Linked DNA regions of Caenorhabditis elegans. The protein of the gene in region 1 interacts with the protein of each later gene in a pairwise test. Each region holds a gene or a part of one and is shown in the gene's direction. Other genes may lie near its edges. The genes, in order: osm-3, popl-4, D2023.4 and swt-3.

Region 1 (6,402 bases):
CTCAACGGGCCTGGAACCTGTATCCCAGTCGCCTTGGCGGCCGCCTTCTTCGACATAATTCGCCTAATCGATACAGTTATTATCTACGAAGAATCGATTTGCCGAGTGAAAAAGCTCTCCTTATCCGGTGCAATTTTGTATTATCTCGGAATGGTCGACTGCCTGATTGTGCATTGGCCGGGGCTCAAGAAATCGTATCCAAGAGCCACGTATATTCAGGATTTGGAGCACAAATTCACGTTGGATGGCTCGGAGAAAAAATCTCAATAAAAATATTAATTTATGTGTCAATTTTAGGGGGGATTTTGTTTTTAAATGTCGGAAAAATTTTGAAATTTTGAAAAAAAAACTATATTTTCCAAAATTTTTAGTGTTTTGAAGAAAACTTTTCAATTTTCTAGAGAAAAAACCTTTTAATTAAAAAAACACAGAAAGATGGAAATTTGGAAAAAATGATTTTTGTGATTTTTGCAAATTTTGGAAAATTCGTTTTTTTTTCAAAACAAAATGAATTTCACCTTTTTAAAAATTCAGCAAAAGTTAGATTTTTTTTTAATTAATTTTTTTGCAGATTAAATTTTACAATTTTTTATCGATTTTTTTTCAGATTTTTTTCCAAAAATTCACGTTTTTTTACGGATTTCCTCTAAAAAATCATTGAAAATCGAGGTTTGCTTCAAAATTCGGTAAAAAATCGAAAATGTTTTTTAAAAAATCTGAAAATGATTTTTTAGTGGAAAATCTGAAAAAATTTCAAGAAATTTGAATTTTTCAAAAAAATTCGTAAAACTACCGTATATTCTCTATTAGTGCGGCACCCCCATCGCTCACCTTTGACGTCATATGTCTTGATTGATTTTGAAGATATTAAGACCTTTTAAAACATTAAGCATAGAAGGAGTTTTAACAAACATTTCCGTAGTTAAAGACTTTTTACCAAAATCAAAGGTGACCGAGATATGAGCTGTCAAAGTTGAGTGGTGGGGTGCCGCACTAATAGAGAATATACGGTACTTTTTTTTCGAAAAAGAAGTAATAAAAATGTCATTAAAAATTTGGATTTTTCTAAATCGGAAAATTCGTTAATTTTGGCTGAAAATCTAGATTTTTTGAAATTTTCACGAAAAAAGCTTAAAATCCGGCTAAAATTCAATTTTCTTAAAAATTTTTTGTAAAAAATTAAATTTGCCTGAAAATCCGAAATTTCTGGTCAATTTTTTCTACACAAAAAAACCCAAAAACTTCGATTTTCCCGATATTTTTAACCAAAACTTTAACCGATTCTTGTATGTATTTTCTAGCTTTACTTGTCTCTATTGTGCTTTATACGCCCATTTCTTGTACATTCCCGCCATTTCAATATTTCCAAAACTAATTTCCGTTTGAATTTATATGACTTTCAAATTCCAGTCATTTTTCAGCCAAAAACCAATCAGCAATGCGGAAATATCAAAATCGACGGCAGCTTTTATTGAAACAATCGTATATAATTCAATTCCCTCAACCCTAGCGGCAGCGTGGCTCGAAAGAAAAAGAAGAAGCATAACAATATCTGGTTGCTAGGCGCCACCTCCCTCCACTCATTCCTTTGCTCTCGGAGCAGCAGTGGTGTATATGCTCGTTGCTCCGCGCGACACCAAACTCTTTTCGTTTTATTTTTTACTACGTCGTTTTTTTTTTGAAATTTTTTTTTCCGAAAATTTTCAACCTTTGAGCTCTTCACATGTTTTATTACGTCGATTTATGTGAAAAAAAAAATTTTTTTCGGAATTTTTTTTCGGAACATTTTTCAATATTTAAGCTCCCACCAACTGTATGGCAGAGAGCGTCCGGGTCGCCGTAAGATGTCGTCCGTTCAATCAGAGAGAAAAGGACCTGAATACGACGGTTGGTTTTTTGATTGGATTTTCAGAAAAACCAGCTGAAAATCAAACAATTTAGGCCTAAATCGAATATTTAAAGCGCAAAAAAATTAAAATTTCCCAGAAAAACCCGAAAAAATTGAGAAAATGTGGAATTTTCGGCGAAGTTCTTCTTTTTAATTAGCCAAAATCATTCGAAATTGGGAAAATTCTAAATTTTGAGTATATTATTACTTTTCAGTGTTTTCCTATTACAGTGCCAGGTCTTGAAACGACATTTTTTGTAAAATACAAACGGGCGTGCGCCTTTAAAGAATACTGTAATTTTGAACTCTCGTTTTTTTTTGGAATTTTCAAAAAAATACATTTATTTATTGAAAAACTGCTACATAAATTTCACAAATTCGATAAAAATTCACAAAGTCGATAAAAATTACACTACTCTTTAAAGGCGCACAGTTTACAAAAAAAATGAATTTTTGCTCAATTTTCTGTATTTTTCGATCATTTTTTTGTTCGATTTTCCTGATTTTTAATAGAAATTGTGTACTTTGTCGGCAAAATTAACCTAAAATCTAGAAAAAATTGATAATAACCTTTCGATGTCAGAATTTAAATTTTACAGGCCGAGGGTCTCACAGCGATTGAGAGCTAGTTATTGTAGTTTTGAGGCTTTTTTCCTGCTGTTTTAAAAGAGTTAGCTGGAGCTAGGAAAAGTTCGAATGATATCTTTAATAAATTTGAACGTCATAAACAATGTTTTCTTTGAAGAAGCCGTACATAATTGCTGACTAAAAAGTAAAAAGGTATTCGGAAAACTTGTGAAAAAGCGCATGTTTCCCCCTCCCCACATCACCTGCTTCACTGGACACATGTGAATGAAAAAACGTAATAAAACTTGAATATTTATTTTTGGTTTAAACATGGTGGCCGAGTTTTCCTATTTTTCGGCCATGAAAAAAGATGTCACGTAGTTCCGTTTACTTCCTTATTATTGTCTACTATACGATTTACCCCCGTAATTTCCGGGAAAACATGTTTTAATGTTTTTGGGTTACTGTTTCCCTCTAGACTATAATATCCGATACATGCTTAGGTAATATCCGTTTATTTTTATTACGAAAATAGGCAAATATTCACTTCGTAGGCGTGAGAACTCTGGTGCGAAACCGTGGGAATTGTAGGAAACTCTACAAAGTTTTCTGGGGGACTAGGGGTCTTCTTCTAGGGCACTAGAGACTGAAAAGCGCTAGAAATTGACAATTTTCTTCTAGGAACCCTAAAATGTTTCAAAATTTCCAGCTATGCGTCGGAATGACTCCGAACGTTGGACAGGTCAACCTGAACGCGCCGGACGGGGCGGCCAAGGACTTCACGTTCGATGGAGCCTACTTTATGGATTCGACCGGCGAGCAGATTTACAATGATATTGTCTTTCCGCTAGTTGAGGTGAGAAAATTTGAAGATTTCTCCTACCAAAGCTTCTAAAAACCGTACAGAACGTGATAGAAGGCTACAATGGCACTGTGTTTGCCTATGGCCAAACTGGATCGGGCAAGACTTTCTCCATGCAGGGCATCGAAACAATTCCAGCTCAACGGGGTGTGATTCCACGGGCTTTTGATCACATATTCACCGCCACGGCTACGACGGAAAATGTGAAATTCCTGGTGCACTGCAGCTATTTAGAGGTTTCAGATTTTTGATCCCTTCCCTTAAATTTTGCTTTAGATTTACAACGAAGAGGTTAGAGACTTGCTGGGCGCCGACAATAAACAAAAACTGGAGATCAAAGAGCAACCGGATCGGGGTGTCTATGTGGCGGGCCTCTCCATGCATGTTTGTCATGATGTCCCGGCTTGCAAGGAGCTGATGACTCGGGGCTTCAACAATCGGCACGTCGGCGCCACGTTGATGAACAAGGTGGCCCTTGACCTGACTCTTTGACCTGACCTCAATTTCTATGTTCAGGACTCTTCCCGAAGTCACTCAATCTTCACGGTATACGTGGAAGGCATGACAGAAACCGGATCGATCAGGATGGGAAAGTTGAATCTGGTCGATTTGGCTGGAAGTGAGCGGCAGAGCAAGACAGGAGCCACCGGTGACCGTTTGAAGGAGGCCACGAAGATTAACCTATCGCTGTCGGCGTTGGGTAATGTGATATCGGCGTTGGTGGACGGAAAGTCGAAGCATATACCCTACAGGGACAGTAAGCTGACTAGGTTGTTACAGGTAAGGACGATTCATTTTTGAGATGATGAGGTGGTTGTTGGGCCGGGCCATTTGAGCCTAGGTCCTGAAGTCTAGCGCGGTAGGAAATGTATGCTAATATGATAAGTGACGGTAGGGATCCAGACCATAGTCATAAGGTATTTGTGGACCACAATTAATGGAAGTGCTAGCCTAGGCTGTAGGTGACGTAGGGAGAAGGCCTAAGCTAGAACCCAACGATCCAAGCCACTGTCGATCCTGCGACCTAGGACGCTTATCCAACTCAAATTTTCCAGGATTCTCTTGGTGGTAACACAAAGACCATTATGATCGCCTGCGTGTCCCCATCCAGTGACAACTACGACGAGACTCTCTCCACACTTCGATATGCCAACCGTGCCAAGAACATCAAGAACAAGCCGACGATCAACGAGGATCCAAAGGATGCTCTTCTTCGAGAGTACCAGGAGGAAATCGCTCGGCTCAAGTCTATGGTTCAACCGGGGGCCGTTGGAGTTGGCGCTCCTGCGCAGGACGCTTTCTCGATAGAAGAGGAGAGGAAGAAGCTACGGGAAGAATTCGAGGAGGCGATGAACGACTTGCGTGGCGAGTATGAGCGGGAGCAGACGAGTAAAGCGGAGCTACAGAAGGACCTGGAGTCCTTGAGAGCAGACTATGAAAGGGCTAATGCGAATTTAGACAACTTGAATCCGGAAGAAGCGGCGAAGAAGATCCAACAGCTCCAAGATCAGTTTATTGGAGGAGAAGAAGCAGGCAATACTCAGCTGAAGCAAAAACGGATGAAGCAGCTGAAGGAGGCAGAGACTAAAACGCAGAAGTTGGCAGGTAAGAACTTCTAGAACTTCAGCAAGTCTTGCACGCAGTAAGTTTCAGCCGCGTTAAACGTTCATAAGGATGATCCTCTGCTTCAAGTCTACAGTACTACTCAAGAAAAACTTGACGCAGTTACTTCTCAACTGGAGAAGGAAGTCAAGAAAGTAAGTCCCTCCAGTTTTACAAAGTGAATAGTGGAATGTTTCAGTCCAAAGGTTACGAGCGAGAAATCGAGGATCTCCACGGCGAATTCGAACTGGATCGTCTCGATTATCTAGACACAATTCGGAAGCAGGACCAGCAGTTGAAGCTCCTTATGCAGATTATGGACAAAATCCAGCCGATCATCAAGAAAGATACGAATTATAGTAACGTGGATCGGATAAAGAAGGAGGCGGTGTGGAATGAAGACGAGAGTCGATGGATTTTGCCGGAAATGTCGATGAGTCGGACTATTCTGCCGTTGGCTAATAATGGTAGGTCTGGATTTGATTAGATTGCAGGCCTCACTGCTAAGCCTGAGCTTTTCCAAGAAACATGTAAGGCGGGATTGCCAAAAAGCGGCCGATTATTCTAGCAATTTGGGATTGCTTTATTCTTCCATCTTTCAGGTTATATGCAAGAACCTGCTCGGCAAGAGAACACCTTATTACGGTCTAACTTTGACGACAAACTACGCGAGCGGCTAGCGAAAAGTGACTCGGAAAACCTGGCAAACAGCTACTTCAAGCCAGTGAAGCAGATCAATGTGATCAACAAGTACAAGAGTGATCAAAAATGTGAGTTAGACCCCTTAGACCTTGCAAAAAGTCAAAAAGTTTCAGTATCAACTTCCAAATCGCTATTTCCATCCAAGACCCCAACATTCGATGGTCTTGTCAACGGAGTCGTCTACACTGATGCTCTCTACGAGCGGGCTCAATCTGCAAAACGACCACCTCGACTAGCCTCTCTGAATCCCAAATAATTCGTGTGTACATTGTGATGTTTAGAAATTTGCTGAATAGTTTGCACGGGTGATATCGAGAATAAAATTAATGAATGTGAGATCTTTATCAATTTTATACAGGTAGCATAAATAGATTCTAATCCAGTTGATCACCGGCTCGGCAACTGCTCACTTTTCGCTTTCGTCAGTATACCAATGCTCTTGGAACTACTCGATGGAGTTGGTTGTCGGAGGATCCCTGAAGAAAATTTTAAGGTTGCAAGTGCGCTCTAAGCCTCACCAGTTTCGTAAATCGATCTCCCGATGAATTGAGCAAGGGGGTCTAACAAACCGGCTTGGGGGTATCCCATCCCTCCGTACCCTCCAAATGGGTTGTAGGACCCCATGGACCCGAGAGCTCCAACACCTGTGCTGCCTGAAACAAAACTCTAATAGTAGCGCACGCCCTGAACGACTACTTACAAGTTCCACAGGACATTGCACACGTCTGCCGCATCATCATTGGATTTGTAGAGCATTGGCCTGAAAAAAACTACAAAATTT
Region 2 (4,323 bases), on another chromosome or scaffold:
AAATTTGCCCTAAAATTTCCGAAAAACACCGAATTGCCATGTGTCGATTTACGTGGCTCTCGTGTACTCCTCGAGGAGAAGATTTCGCAAATTTTGGCTTTTTCAATACAAAAATTAGATTTTTCTATTGATTTTCTATTAAAAACCAACACGAAGATTTTTCGAACATTTTTCTCGGCAAAAATTGAAAATTTGAAGAAAAATTGCAGAAATTCATTGGAAAATTTCCCAAAAAAATTCCAAAAAATCAAAAAAAAAATCGCATAAATATATCAGAAAAATTAGAACATTTAATTTTTTCCAAAAAAAATTTTTTTTCGAAAAAACGTCAAAAAATATAAAAAAAAAACGAAAAAATAGTGATTTTCTTTGAAAAAATCAGAAAAAATCGCCAAAATTATTCAAAAATTAATTTTTTTCCAGATTCCTCCAGCTCCAAACTTCCATCTCGCTACCGCCAAAAACTTCCAACGGAGCAAGAGAAAATCAGCTCCGATGAGGATGAGCCAGCGGAGCCAATTGCTCAAAAAGCTGCAGCTCCAGTGAGCCCAAATCCAGCTTCATCGCGCTCCGCATCACCGGAGCCAGCTCAGCAAGTCGATGAGCTTCTGGAATCCGAAGAAGCTGCTCCACCACCACCACCTCCACCGCCACCAGAAAATGAGCCGGAGGAATTTCCACCACCACCACCGTCGATTTCGATTCGGGAAACGAAGAAACAGTTGAAAATGCGGCTGAAATCAATCAATAAAATGCTGGAAATTCAAAAATCCTCCCCGTTGCTCGAGGGAAATTCATCGGAGAGCTCGGCCACGGCGACTGCTCAATGAGCACTAATTTCTTGGGATTTTTAATTCAAAAAGTTGAAAAATAGTCTAAAAAGCTGAAAAAAACCGAGCAATTTCGCTGATTGGTCCAAAAGTGGGCGGAGCGAATCGCTGATTGGTCGCAGTTGAATTTTTCATTTTTTGTTTTTTTTTCAATTTTTTGAAGCAAAATCCCTAGAAATAAATTAAATTTCATATTTTATTTATTTATTCCCCATCTCCTCCCACCCACATCTAAAGTGCAATAGAGCACGCTTTCTCTCTCTCGTTTTTGCTACGGTTTTTCAATTTTTCCCTTCTTTTCTCTCTACCAAAATCGCTATAATATTTTTTTTTAATTGGGTTTTTTCAATTATTTTACCCCGAACCCCCCCTCCCCGTCGGTTTTTGTGATTGTTTAGAAATATTTTTATGTGTGGTTTAGTTTTTGAAACTTTTTCTGTTTTTTTTTTGTCTATATAAATACAATATCTGGGAATTTTTAAAGATTTTTTGTGTATTTTTTGGGTTTAGAGACGATTTAATATTCAGAAAATGACTTATTTCTTTTTAAAAACTACTATTTGAATATATGGAAGAGCTGGCCGTGTAAAACCTCTTCCACGGCCATGTGTCGATTTACAAGACTCGTGTACTCCCCGTGGAGAAGATCTTGCAGTTATTTGCTATTTTTCACTTAAACCACTAAACGAAACAAAAAATAATTTTAAAAAGTGTAAAACCACGTATTTTGAAAAAAAAGGAAAATCTTCTCCTCGGGGAGTACACGAGCTGCGTAAATCTACATTTCACCGATATTTCCCAAAAAAATTCGAAAAAAAACCATCAAAATTGATGAAATTTTTGAAATTGTTCCCAGAAATTTGAAAAAAAATACAATTTTACTAAAATATCCGTTTTTTTCCAGAATTCTATCGAAAAAAAAAATGAGCAAAGACGTACGAATTGGAGAGCCAGGAGAATCCACGTCTCGGGGAGGAGGTAATTTTCAATTTTTGAGAAAAAAATAAATTGAAATTTTGAACTAAAAATGATAATTTTCCGTAAAAAATTGGAAAAACAATCAAAAAATCGTCAAAAAATCAATAAATTTACGAAAAAATCGATAAATTTTCCGTAAAAATCAATTTTTTTGGAAAAAACCTTCGAAAAGCCAATAAACTTAAGTTCAATTGAAAAAATCTATAATAAAATAAATAAATTTCTCAATCTCTTTTTTAAAAAATCGATAATATTCCGTAAAAATCCAAATTTTAAAGAAATCTTCGAAAAATCAATGAATTCGAAAATCGATAATTTTTTTTCAAAAAAAATCGATAAAATTTCAGAATAATCAATAATGTTTAGAAATGAATGATTTTTCGCAAAAATCAAAGAAAAAATATTCGAATAATCAATAATTTTATAAAATCAATATTTAATTTTCCCAAAAAGTCGATAAATTTTCGGTGAAAATCGATAATTTTTCAAAAGTCAATAAATTTTCAAAAAAATCAATAATTCAAAAATTTCGTAAAAAATCTGAAAAATTTTGAAAAAAAATCAATCATTCAAAAAAATCGATACCTTTTCAGAAAATCCGCTACCTCACCTGATAATCGATACATTTTAGCCGATTTAAAACCGATTTAATTCCGAAAAAATCAATAATATTTTTCAAAAAATCGATTTAAATACGGACAAATCATCAAATTTTCAGAAAATCAATAATTTTCCTTTAATTCCTCGATTTTCAGGAGATCGTCTCGGAGTCTTACATCTCGAAAAAAATGTGACCAGTCACTTCAAAAGAAAATCCAAAAAAACGGAAAAAACTAATTTGACACGTGGAAGACTCACCGAAGACGACAAAAAAGCGTTCAAGTTCGTAGATTTTCGAATTTTTTCGAAAAAAATCCCTTAAAAAAATTACAGATTCGCTGATATCGTTCCAATGAACACAGATTGGCAGAAATATTTCCGCGAACGACTCGGAAATCACTTTTCAAGTACGAAAATCGAGAAAACTATTCTAAAATCAGATTATCATGGAGCTCTGCTGACAATTTGGCTTGCCGAGAATCCCACACAGGTAATTGTGTACTCCACGAGGAGTTTACGCGGGAATTTATTGATTTTTTCTTGGAAATTTGTTGATTTTCCGATAAAAAATTATCGATTATTTTGCGTTAAAAAATATCGATTTTCGCGAAAATTTATTGATTTTTCGATAAAAAAAATTATCGATTTTTTGAGTATTTACTGTTACTGTTTTTCCTAAAAATTATCAGATTTTTCCGAGAAATGTTTTTTTTCATAAAATATATATACTTTTTGAAAAAAAAAAACTTTTTTGCTGAAAAAAAAAATTATCGATTTTTTGAACTTTTCCAGATTGGAATTAGCGGAATCGTCGTTCTCGAGACACGCCACACATTTCAAATGGTCACACAAGAGGATCGATTCGTTGGTAAGTGGGTCTCGCCACGATCTTCGGGCGGGAATTCGAATTTCGCGCGGCCACACCGAAAGGCGAATCTGCGGAAACGGGATCTGCCAGCGTTTTTCTCGAAGAACAACGCTATAACGATTCCCGGCTCAACAACACGCGTAACACCGGAGCATCGTTGTAACGTATTTTTTTCGAGAAAATGCTGGCACAGACCCCATCCCCGCAGATTCCCTTTTCCGTGGGGTCTCCGCGGCCCGGCGGGAATTCAAATTCAAATTTTCAGTAATTCCAAAGAAGGGCTCCGTCTTCCGATTCATCCTTGGTGATCGTCTCTTCTCACTGTTCGGCGACGGAATGCGTACTCGACCGGCGTGGCGCGGCAAAAAGCCACGTATCAAGCGTCTGCTGCCAACTTTCATTCGAGGAACTCTTCAGACCGTACCTACCGTCTCCACGAAGGATTAATTTGAATTTCTGAGAAATTTCCCTGTTTTTTTTCCGTTTTTTGTTGTCTGTTTTTGAAAAGGAAATAATAAAAATTCTGAATTTGAAAAACTCTGTGATATTGGACAATTTTCATGAGAATTTATTGATTTTTTGAGACTAACATCAGTTTCCTCACGTGGTGTCAGTATGTCCCATGTCGGTTTGATCTACAAAAGTGCGGGAATTTTTTCCCAGAAAAAAAACAAGTGAAATTAGCTGAGATGTCTGCGTCTCAACTCCCGCTTTTTTCGAAGATCAAACCAACATGGGACATTCCGACACCACGTGTTTCTTTGGAAATTTATCGATTTTTCGAAAAATTATCGATTTTTGACATTTTTTGCAATTAAAAATTGAAAAAAGGGAAATTCAACGTGTGAACTCAATAAAATTGTAAATAAATTGTAGAGTTCAAATTAGATTTTTAAAGTTTTTTCGATCATTCCTCGTTGCAATCACGATTTTGGTGGTTTTAACTAATATTTCGGTTTATATATTCTATATTTGTAAAGGTTAGTTATTTTTTGGGTTTGGCTTCCATGGGATTCAGGCGCGGTTTGGGCGCCTTTTGAAGCGGCC
Region 3 (3,166 bases), on another chromosome or scaffold:
TAGTCAATTACAATTTTCCCTACCTGAAAATTCAGATCGAAATTTTTTGTAAACAGTTTAGTTTAAACAACTTACGGTTGAAGCAGCTCTCCCAAATCTCAGCAGTCCTAATTGTCTTAAGTCTTCAACGGAATCTACCGTGTACGCTGTATAGCCTGCTCCAGCTCCAGTTCCCACAAATAAGACCTTGAAAACGTTTTTAATTAATACGATGCTTTGAAAACTTAAACAACTTACTTTTGTGAGTGGCTTAAACGCCAGTATTTTTCTAATAATCATGACACCGGGCTGAAAATAACTGAAAATGATGGAAATTCATCTCAAAAAATATCGACGCAAGTGCGCTCCATTGATTGCAGAGAGAGTATGTGTATTCTGGAGGTCAGAGACATTTTTGAAAACAGTTTTTATTTTGCAAAACAGTTTTGAAATCAAAGTTCTTGCTGTTTTCAGAATGTTCTTCTTTGCCTTTTTTTCATTTTTAAGTAATTTTTTTCTCAGTAAAAATATAAATCTCTTTAAACGGTTTATGTTCAGTGTCTTTTCGTAAAATATTTTAAAAATTATTAACAATTACAGTAATTATGAGTCTCAAAAAAATAATCGATGTAAAATCAGTTAACACTCTTCTGAAAAAAGGAATTATCAATAAAGAAGGAGTGCGGATCATTGATTGCTCATTTGCTGTGGCGCCGCGTCCAGATTGGAAAGAATTCGAACAAGAGGGTTATGGCGATTTCAAGAATCTCATGGCTGAGCCCAGCCCGTATGTTTATTCAAATTTTAATTTAAAAAAAAACAAAATTTGAAGGTCCCGGAACTTGTACCTGGCTGGACACATTCCGGAAGCTGTGCATGTGGACCTGGACATTGCCACATATCCATCTCGTTATCAAAGATTCCAACAATACCGCGCGGATCTTTTCGAAGAATATGCTCAAATGGTTGGATTGAACAATAAAGAACATTTCATCTTTTACGGAAAAGGAGCATTTGGTGGAATGCTTTTTGCTTCAAAGGTTGCTTGGATTTTCAAATCCTATGGCCATGAAAACATTTCTCTTGTCGATGGAGGATTTGATTCATGGAAAAGAAATGGATTTGAAGTATCTACAGAACTCGTAAAATTGCCTGCAGGAAACTTTAAAGCTGAAGATAATTTCAAAAAATATGTCATCACATTCCAAGAACTCGAAGCTAAAAAAGACGGCGAAGATAAACAGTTTATCGAAAAAACATCAGAAATTAACTTTCTGGACAGCAGAATTCGTGGTCAATTCGATGGAACTCAAGAGACCGGTCTTGATCCACATCTTGTAAACGGCACTAGAATCGCTGGTTTCAAAAATCTACCTAGTGCAGAGCTTCTTGTGAAAGGCGGAAATTTGAAAAGTGAAGAAGAAATCAAGTCATGTAAAAGATAATGAGTTTTCCGATAATCTCAACTTTTCTAATTTAGGGCTCACTCAAAACGGATATGTTGAAAATCAACCGACAATCACATCCTGTAATGCTGGAATTCAAGCAGCACTTTTGGCGTACGTAATCGATGCTGTGAAGCCATCACAGAATCCTCCCCGCGTATATAATGGATCCTTAAAAGAGATGGAGCTTCGAGCACCGAAGAAAATTTCGGAGGGACCACAGCATTTGCCTCATTAATGTTTAGTTTTGTAGGATTTTTCTTTTATTCAATTTTCATAGATAGATATTGTTGTTATTTTGTTTCTTACTTCATAAAATTTTGGAATAATTTTATTCATTTTTCCTTTTAAATGGTTACTTGACTACCATTCAGACTATTTAGTTGAAAAATCTCGAACATCAGAAACCACTGATATCGAAAAATGATTTTTCATCTTCATTGTGTGATAAGAATTTCAGTTCATAACTTTTGAAAATTGTTCTTCACTTTTATCGTTAAAGTATGAAAAACTTCGAAATTGTCACCGTTACCCCGGATCATGCCGAACAACTCATTTCAATGATTCATGTAGGTTTATTTCTTCTTCTTTATTTGAAAAGAAAATAAACATTTGCAGGAGCTCGCGGAGTTTGAAAAAATGAAGAGCAGCGTGGTGAATACTGCCGAGAAATTGAGAAAAGATATTGAAAACAAGGCAGTGCATGGTACGATTTTGATTTTTAATTGATCATAAATCGAAATTTAGGATTCATTGCATTTATCGGAGAGGAGCCAGCTGGAATGAACCTTTTTTACTATGCATATTCAACATGGGTTGGGCAGGTATTTATGAAACAGTACTGAAATTCAACCAAAAAATCATCATTTCAGTATCTTCACATGGAAGATCTCTACATTCGACCTCAGTTCCGACGAATGGGACTAGCAAGAACTCTGTGGAAGAAGCTGGCTGAGTTGGCTCGAGACAAAGGAATTGTTCGTCTCGAATGGGCAGTTCTCGATTGGAACAAAAATGCGATTGCTCTGTACGACACTGTTGATTATGTAAATTTGACAAAGAGCGAAGGATGGTTCACTTTTCGAATGGACGGTGCGGCGATAAATAAATTTGCTGATGAATAGATATGTTACTTTTATTGGTATAGAACTTTTGAAATGTTCTGCAATTTAAATAAAGTTATTTATTATAGATTTTTTGAATTTTTAAATTTTTATTTTTACCGGATATTCTCAACCCGTGTGAATTATTTCAACCTCCCAATATTATCGATATTATCTTCTAATTTCCCTAAAATTAAAATTGTGTGAGTCGCCCACATTTTTTGGCAATTTACAGATTGACCTTTTCTCCTTTTCTGTATGACACTTCCTATCGCGTACTAGAGATTTCTGTGCTTTTGATCTTATCGATTTTGATCGGATTACCAGTTCAAAATTGTTTTACCACACTGATTACTTCTGGTTTTTTGATCCTTCATAGCAAAGTTTCAGCACGATCTATATTTGTTTCTTCTCATTTTGACACTCAGAACTTTCTGGGTTTAATTGATAAGCGAGAGGAACAGTACCCAAATTTTAAGAAAATCTATGCCACCTATGTTAGAGTTATCTATTATAAATTTAAACAAGTTGCCATATCCAGAAAATTATCATAATATCCTTTTATGGAATCTTCTGAAAATTTAAATTATTTAATGTTCTAATAATTTAATATAAAACAAAATTTAAAAAGATCAGTAT
Region 4 (4,115 bases), 7.0 Mb from region 1:
GACTGATCACAAAAAACGGAACATGAATAAAGCTTTTTCTGTTTTTGCGAAAACTGCAATCATCACATTTATACATTTCTCATTGTTCGGAAAGTCATTACACAAAAATACTAATCATGAAAAGCTGGCAGTAGGCACGCCACAAACGTAGGTCACCTTGTTCCTACGTGTAAGGCTTCGGGAATACATATACTTTTGTTTATGAATCAAAATACTAAAGTAAGTGACGGAAATCCATTTCTCCCTTAACTATTAAACACCCACAGTTCGTTAAGTTCCTCATTGGCCGATCAGTTTTAGATTTGACCCGCCGGTACACGATGAACCATCTAGATAGACCGTACTCTAACCAATCCAATATCTTCTCTATTAGGAAAGTGTCATAAATCTTTCAATTTCCCCCGCATTTCCATGTGATAAGTACTTTCATCTTCACATGGCCGGTACACGTGCAGTCTCTCTCACACAGATATTTTAGATGACGTCTCGCGCGCAGGATTCGTCCATTTCATCGTTTTCTCACATTTTTCAAGTTGTAATAATATAGAAGCAATCCAGAGCTGGTTGGGTAAATTAGGGTACTTATGGGGCAGCAGACAACACACGCATTGACGTAATCCTTATCACTGAACAGGAAAGAGCAACGAGCACTGGCAAATAAATAGTGTGCCCTTGTAGGGTTATGTACCAAATGTTTCAGGCTCCAAGCTCAAGAAATGACCTGAACAAAATGTATTCTTCATATTTGATGCAAGTGGCTCCAAAAGAGGATTGTGGTTCTTTCAAATTTTGGATGAAACATCATGAAATATATATTCTGGAAGTATTGGAAACTTGTTCATATTTAAAAATTGCAAACCAAGACCCAAGAAATTCAACTAGACTTTGAATTCAATAAAATTCATTTCATGAAGCAATGTTTGAATTAAACTGTCAGTCCCCTTTAAAGTAGTAACTGCTACTCGCATACATAGTCGTGTCGTGCCGGCGGTTATAAATCATGGCGAAGATATGGGGATCGCGCCAGCGCGAACCATCGTTTTTGATAACAAGTGATATCAATTTCATTGCTTTCTTATTCATCCGATCATTCTGCCTCTCTTGTTAGTGGTTCACATGGTTTCCTAAATAATGAGAACAGATTCGTGTATACAGATTTCGTGTGTGTATACTACTATTGATTATATGTGCGTCTGAAGTGTAAAAAGTCTTGTAATAGTTAACACAGATGGTGGCGCCAGAGAGAAGGAGTCAATTGTCTAGGGTTCTAGGAAACAAAGGACTTAACAGGTTACTGTAGATTCCAAAAAGTTGAGCTATGGGGATTGTTTTCTAAATAAATAACACACTTGAACCAATGTGGAATTGAGCTCAACAATGAGTTTTCTAATAGTTTTTTAGTTTTTGAGGACTTAAATAGGTTTCCTAAAGGCTTCTCTCCTATTTTTTTGTTTTGCTTTAGGCCTCCAAAACTGACAAGAATCGGGGCTTAGGGGTCTGAAAGATTTTTAAGATTTTTTGAAAAACATAAAAAATAATTGAAAATCTTTTTCTTACTAATAATATGTTACAAATCCCAAAGAATAAATCAAAAATAATTAATAATCATTGTAAAAAATAACTGTCCAATATGTGTCGGCTCGTGAACTATTAAACTATTAAAAATGACCAGTACACTTCACTGGTCAACGCCCTTTTCTCAATGATCTCTCTGGAATTGGCTCCATTTGATCCGTATGACTAATGCCTCACAAACAGCTCAGAGATCTTAGTCCGTACTGAAATTGGCGTCACTTCCCTTAGCCCCCCGGAACAGTGTGTATAGCCCCTCCTTCTTCTCCGCCGAAGGTCTTGGTGGAGGGCGGGGCGAAGACGGTTGATACAAAAGTGACTGAAGGGAAGGACAGAATCAACAGACTATCTGCCATTTTTTTGTATAACCACAAACCTACAAGTGCCATCTAGCACAATCGACTCTCTGAACATAATGTTCGAGATTTTCACTCAAGGCTTTTCCCTTCTCAATCTTCTTTCTATTCTTGCATTTTTTACTACAGTCGGTCTTTTCTTCTGTGGAATGTAAGTGGATTTTTATTCAAGTTAAAATTATTTATATTTATTCCAAGTATTTCAGTCCAATATGTCGACAAATCTGGAAGAGAAAAGACACAAAAGAAATCTCTGGAGCTCCATTCCTAATGGGAGTTGTTGGAGGATGCTGCTGGATGACTTATGGATGGTTAAAAAATGATGGAACTGTGAAATGGGTTACCGGATGTCAAGTGATTCTGTACACAACATACACCATCTTCTATTGGTGCATGACCAAGAAGAAGCTCTACATTTCTTTGAAAGTTCTCGGAGTTATTGGAATCTGCACGAGTTTGGTGCTCGCTGTTCACTTCTTCGGAATGAAGATCTTCCATCCACTTGGAATCGTTTGCCTCACCCTGAACATTGCTGATTTCGCAGCTCCTCTTGGTGGAATCCGAGTCGTAATCCGTCGTTGGGCAACTTCAACTCTTCCACTTCCATTGTGCATTGCCAATTTCCTTGTGTCAACTGAATGGTTCCTGTACGGTCTCCTCAAGAACGATTTCTACCTTATTTTCCCAAATGGAGTTGGATCTCTTCTTGCTTTCATCCAACTTCTCTTGTTCATCGTTCTTCCAAGAAAACCAGGACAACGTGCCCCAATCGTCAGACTTTGGTTGTGGATCCGTGGAGTCCGAGTGGAAGAGACCAAAGGTACATTGACCGAAAATCTATCAGAAATTGATAAGCACCTAGTCTGTAGAAAAAAAAACAAGTAATCTTGTTTTTTGATCAATTTATAACCAGGAAGCATCTTTTTCTTACTGATAGCAAAAAATTGATAGCAGAAAACATAATCATTTTTTCTTTCAGAAATTGTTGCCGAGCTCGGAGAATGTGATGAGAAGGATGACAAGAAGATGAACAGAGCTCAGAGATGGTCCCAAAAGATCAAGATGAATGTTTCCACTGTTGCTGAAGAGCTTGAAAATGTCATCTACCAATTGCCAACAAAGGATCAATTCGCTTATACTCATAAGATCGGAGATGAGGATTCATCCAGTGAGAAGACTGTGGAAACAGTTGATGAAACTAAGAAGGCTCCAGTTACAGCTGTAGATAAATTGAAGGATGCTGACAGAGAAAGGAAAATGAGAAACGCATTGCGAGCAGCACAGGATGCTCGAGAAAATGCTCTCCGAAGAACCATCAGCTCACCGGATCTTTCCGAGTAACTTTCATATTTTGATCTTCATCACCACGTTCATCTCAAGCTAAGAGCTTTTTTCTCGAATCTCAATCTCAACAAGACTAGAACAAACTGTTCTATAATAATTCAATTCAGTCCCCCATGTTGCAAAGATACCCTTCTTTTTCATGTTTTTAACCCATTTTTATTACATTTTTTTGATGTTTTTTTCATGATGACCCGCCTCTACTTGAGGTGACTTGACACTGTAATTGTGTGCAATTGACTTTTTGCTTCTATGACTCTCCCATTCACTTTTTGAATGGCATAATTTACCGAATGACGGGTGCCTTCTTTTTTGAATTTCTCATAAAGTTTTAAAGCTTGATCTTTGTTTTAAATCGATTTGAGCTGGACAACCCAGCTCCGCAGCTGAAATTAGGGGGTTTAAGAGATAAAGTTGGCATCTGACGAGTTTACCAAAAAATTAATCTAAACAACAATTAATTTGAGATTTAGTGGTTCTGAAAATCCAAAAATTACATAGATTTTAGTGGGACAACTTAAAATATAATACAATGAAAAATATAATGCATACAAATCGGATTCTCCAACGAACACCGATTTTAAAAAGAAAACTTCAATGAAATTCAAGATATGGCATTTTTAATACTATCTAATTTTCGAGAGTAATTAAACCATGTTGGTTTCAGACTAAATTCCGCTCTGTAAAGCATTCCTGCTTTTTTAATGTCAGATTGTCTTCAATTTTAAATCCGATAAAAGATCCTCGTAGGTACAGAATAATATTTCATTGTAAAGAAAAATAGCGTCAAGTTGCAAATTCAATCAAGATGAACAAAAAGTAAATTGCGAATATCATATACCTATT

What was found.
Region 2: the proteins of osm-3 (region 1) and popl-4 interact in a two-hybrid assay, tested with the Caenorhabditis elegans proteins (one large-scale study listed by BioGRID).
Region 3: the proteins of osm-3 (region 1) and D2023.4 interact in a two-hybrid assay, tested with the Caenorhabditis elegans proteins (one large-scale study listed by BioGRID).
Region 4: the proteins of osm-3 (region 1) and swt-3 interact in a two-hybrid assay, tested with the Caenorhabditis elegans proteins (one large-scale study listed by BioGRID).

What each region holds. Positions count from the first base shown.
Region 1 is NC_003282.8:3,795,861-3,802,262, reverse strand, and holds osm-3 (Osmotic avoidance abnormal protein 3), read left to right. Parts: upstream 1-1,815; coding exon 1,816-1,887; intron 1,888-3,164; coding exon 3,165-3,311; intron 3,312-3,361; coding exon 3,362-3,553; intron 3,554-3,593; coding exon 3,594-3,785; intron 3,786-3,833; coding exon 3,834-4,097; intron 4,098-4,372; coding exon 4,373-4,922; intron 4,923-4,970; coding exon 4,971-5,074; intron 5,075-5,118; coding exon 5,119-5,386; intron 5,387-5,521; coding exon 5,522-5,689; intron 5,690-5,734; coding exon 5,735-5,877; downstream 5,878-6,402. Other genes in the region: algn-14 (UDP-N-acetylglucosamine transferase subunit ALG14), read left to right, coding at 1-270; K09B3.1 (ShKT domain-containing protein), read right to left, coding at 6,009-6,097, 6,140-6,274, 6,322-6,381. UniProt on the Caenorhabditis elegans protein: Kinesin motor protein which is required for the anterograde intraflagellar transport (IFT) along the middle segment of the sensory neuron cilia together with the kinesin II motor complex (composed of klp-11, klp-20 and kap-1) and on its own, is required for IFT along the distal segment.
Region 2 is NC_003279.8:12,211,377-12,215,699, forward strand, and holds popl-4 (Ribonuclease P protein subunit p29), read left to right. Parts: upstream 1-1,729; 5' UTR 1,730-1,753; coding exon 1,754-1,808; intron 1,809-2,563; coding exon 2,564-2,690; intron 2,691-2,741; coding exon 2,742-2,898; intron 2,899-3,200; coding exon 3,201-3,276; intron 3,277-3,541; coding exon 3,542-3,723; 3' UTR 3,724-3,822; downstream 3,823-4,323. Other genes in the region: C15C6.3 (YTH domain-containing protein), read left to right, coding at 424-830.
Region 3 is NC_003283.11:11,824,481-11,827,646, reverse strand, and holds D2023.4 (Thialysine N-epsilon-acetyltransferase), read left to right. Parts: upstream 1-1,884; 5' UTR 1,885-1,927; coding exon 1,928-1,993; intron 1,994-2,042; coding exon 2,043-2,130; intron 2,131-2,171; coding exon 2,172-2,248; intron 2,249-2,296; coding exon 2,297-2,548; 3' UTR 2,549-2,614; downstream 2,615-3,166. Other genes in the region: D2023.6 (ABC1 atypical kinase-like domain-containing protein), read right to left, coding at 1-23, 76-186, 238-279; Putative thiosulfate sulfurtransferase mpst-1, read left to right, coding at 585-766, 812-1,413, 1,460-1,662. UniProt on the Caenorhabditis elegans protein: Catalyzes the N-acetylation of the amino acid thialysine (S-(2-aminoethyl)-L-cysteine), a L-lysine analog with the 4-methylene group substituted with a sulfur. Substrate specificity: thialysine > O-(2-aminoethyl)-L-serine > S-(2-aminoethyl)-D,L-homocysteine.
Region 4 is NC_003282.8:10,778,480-10,782,594, reverse strand, and holds swt-3 (Sugar transporter SWEET1), read left to right. Parts: upstream 1-1,911; 5' UTR 1,912-1,987; coding exon 1,988-2,079; intron 2,080-2,134; coding exon 2,135-2,748; intron 2,749-2,907; coding exon 2,908-3,269; 3' UTR 3,270-3,610; downstream 3,611-4,115.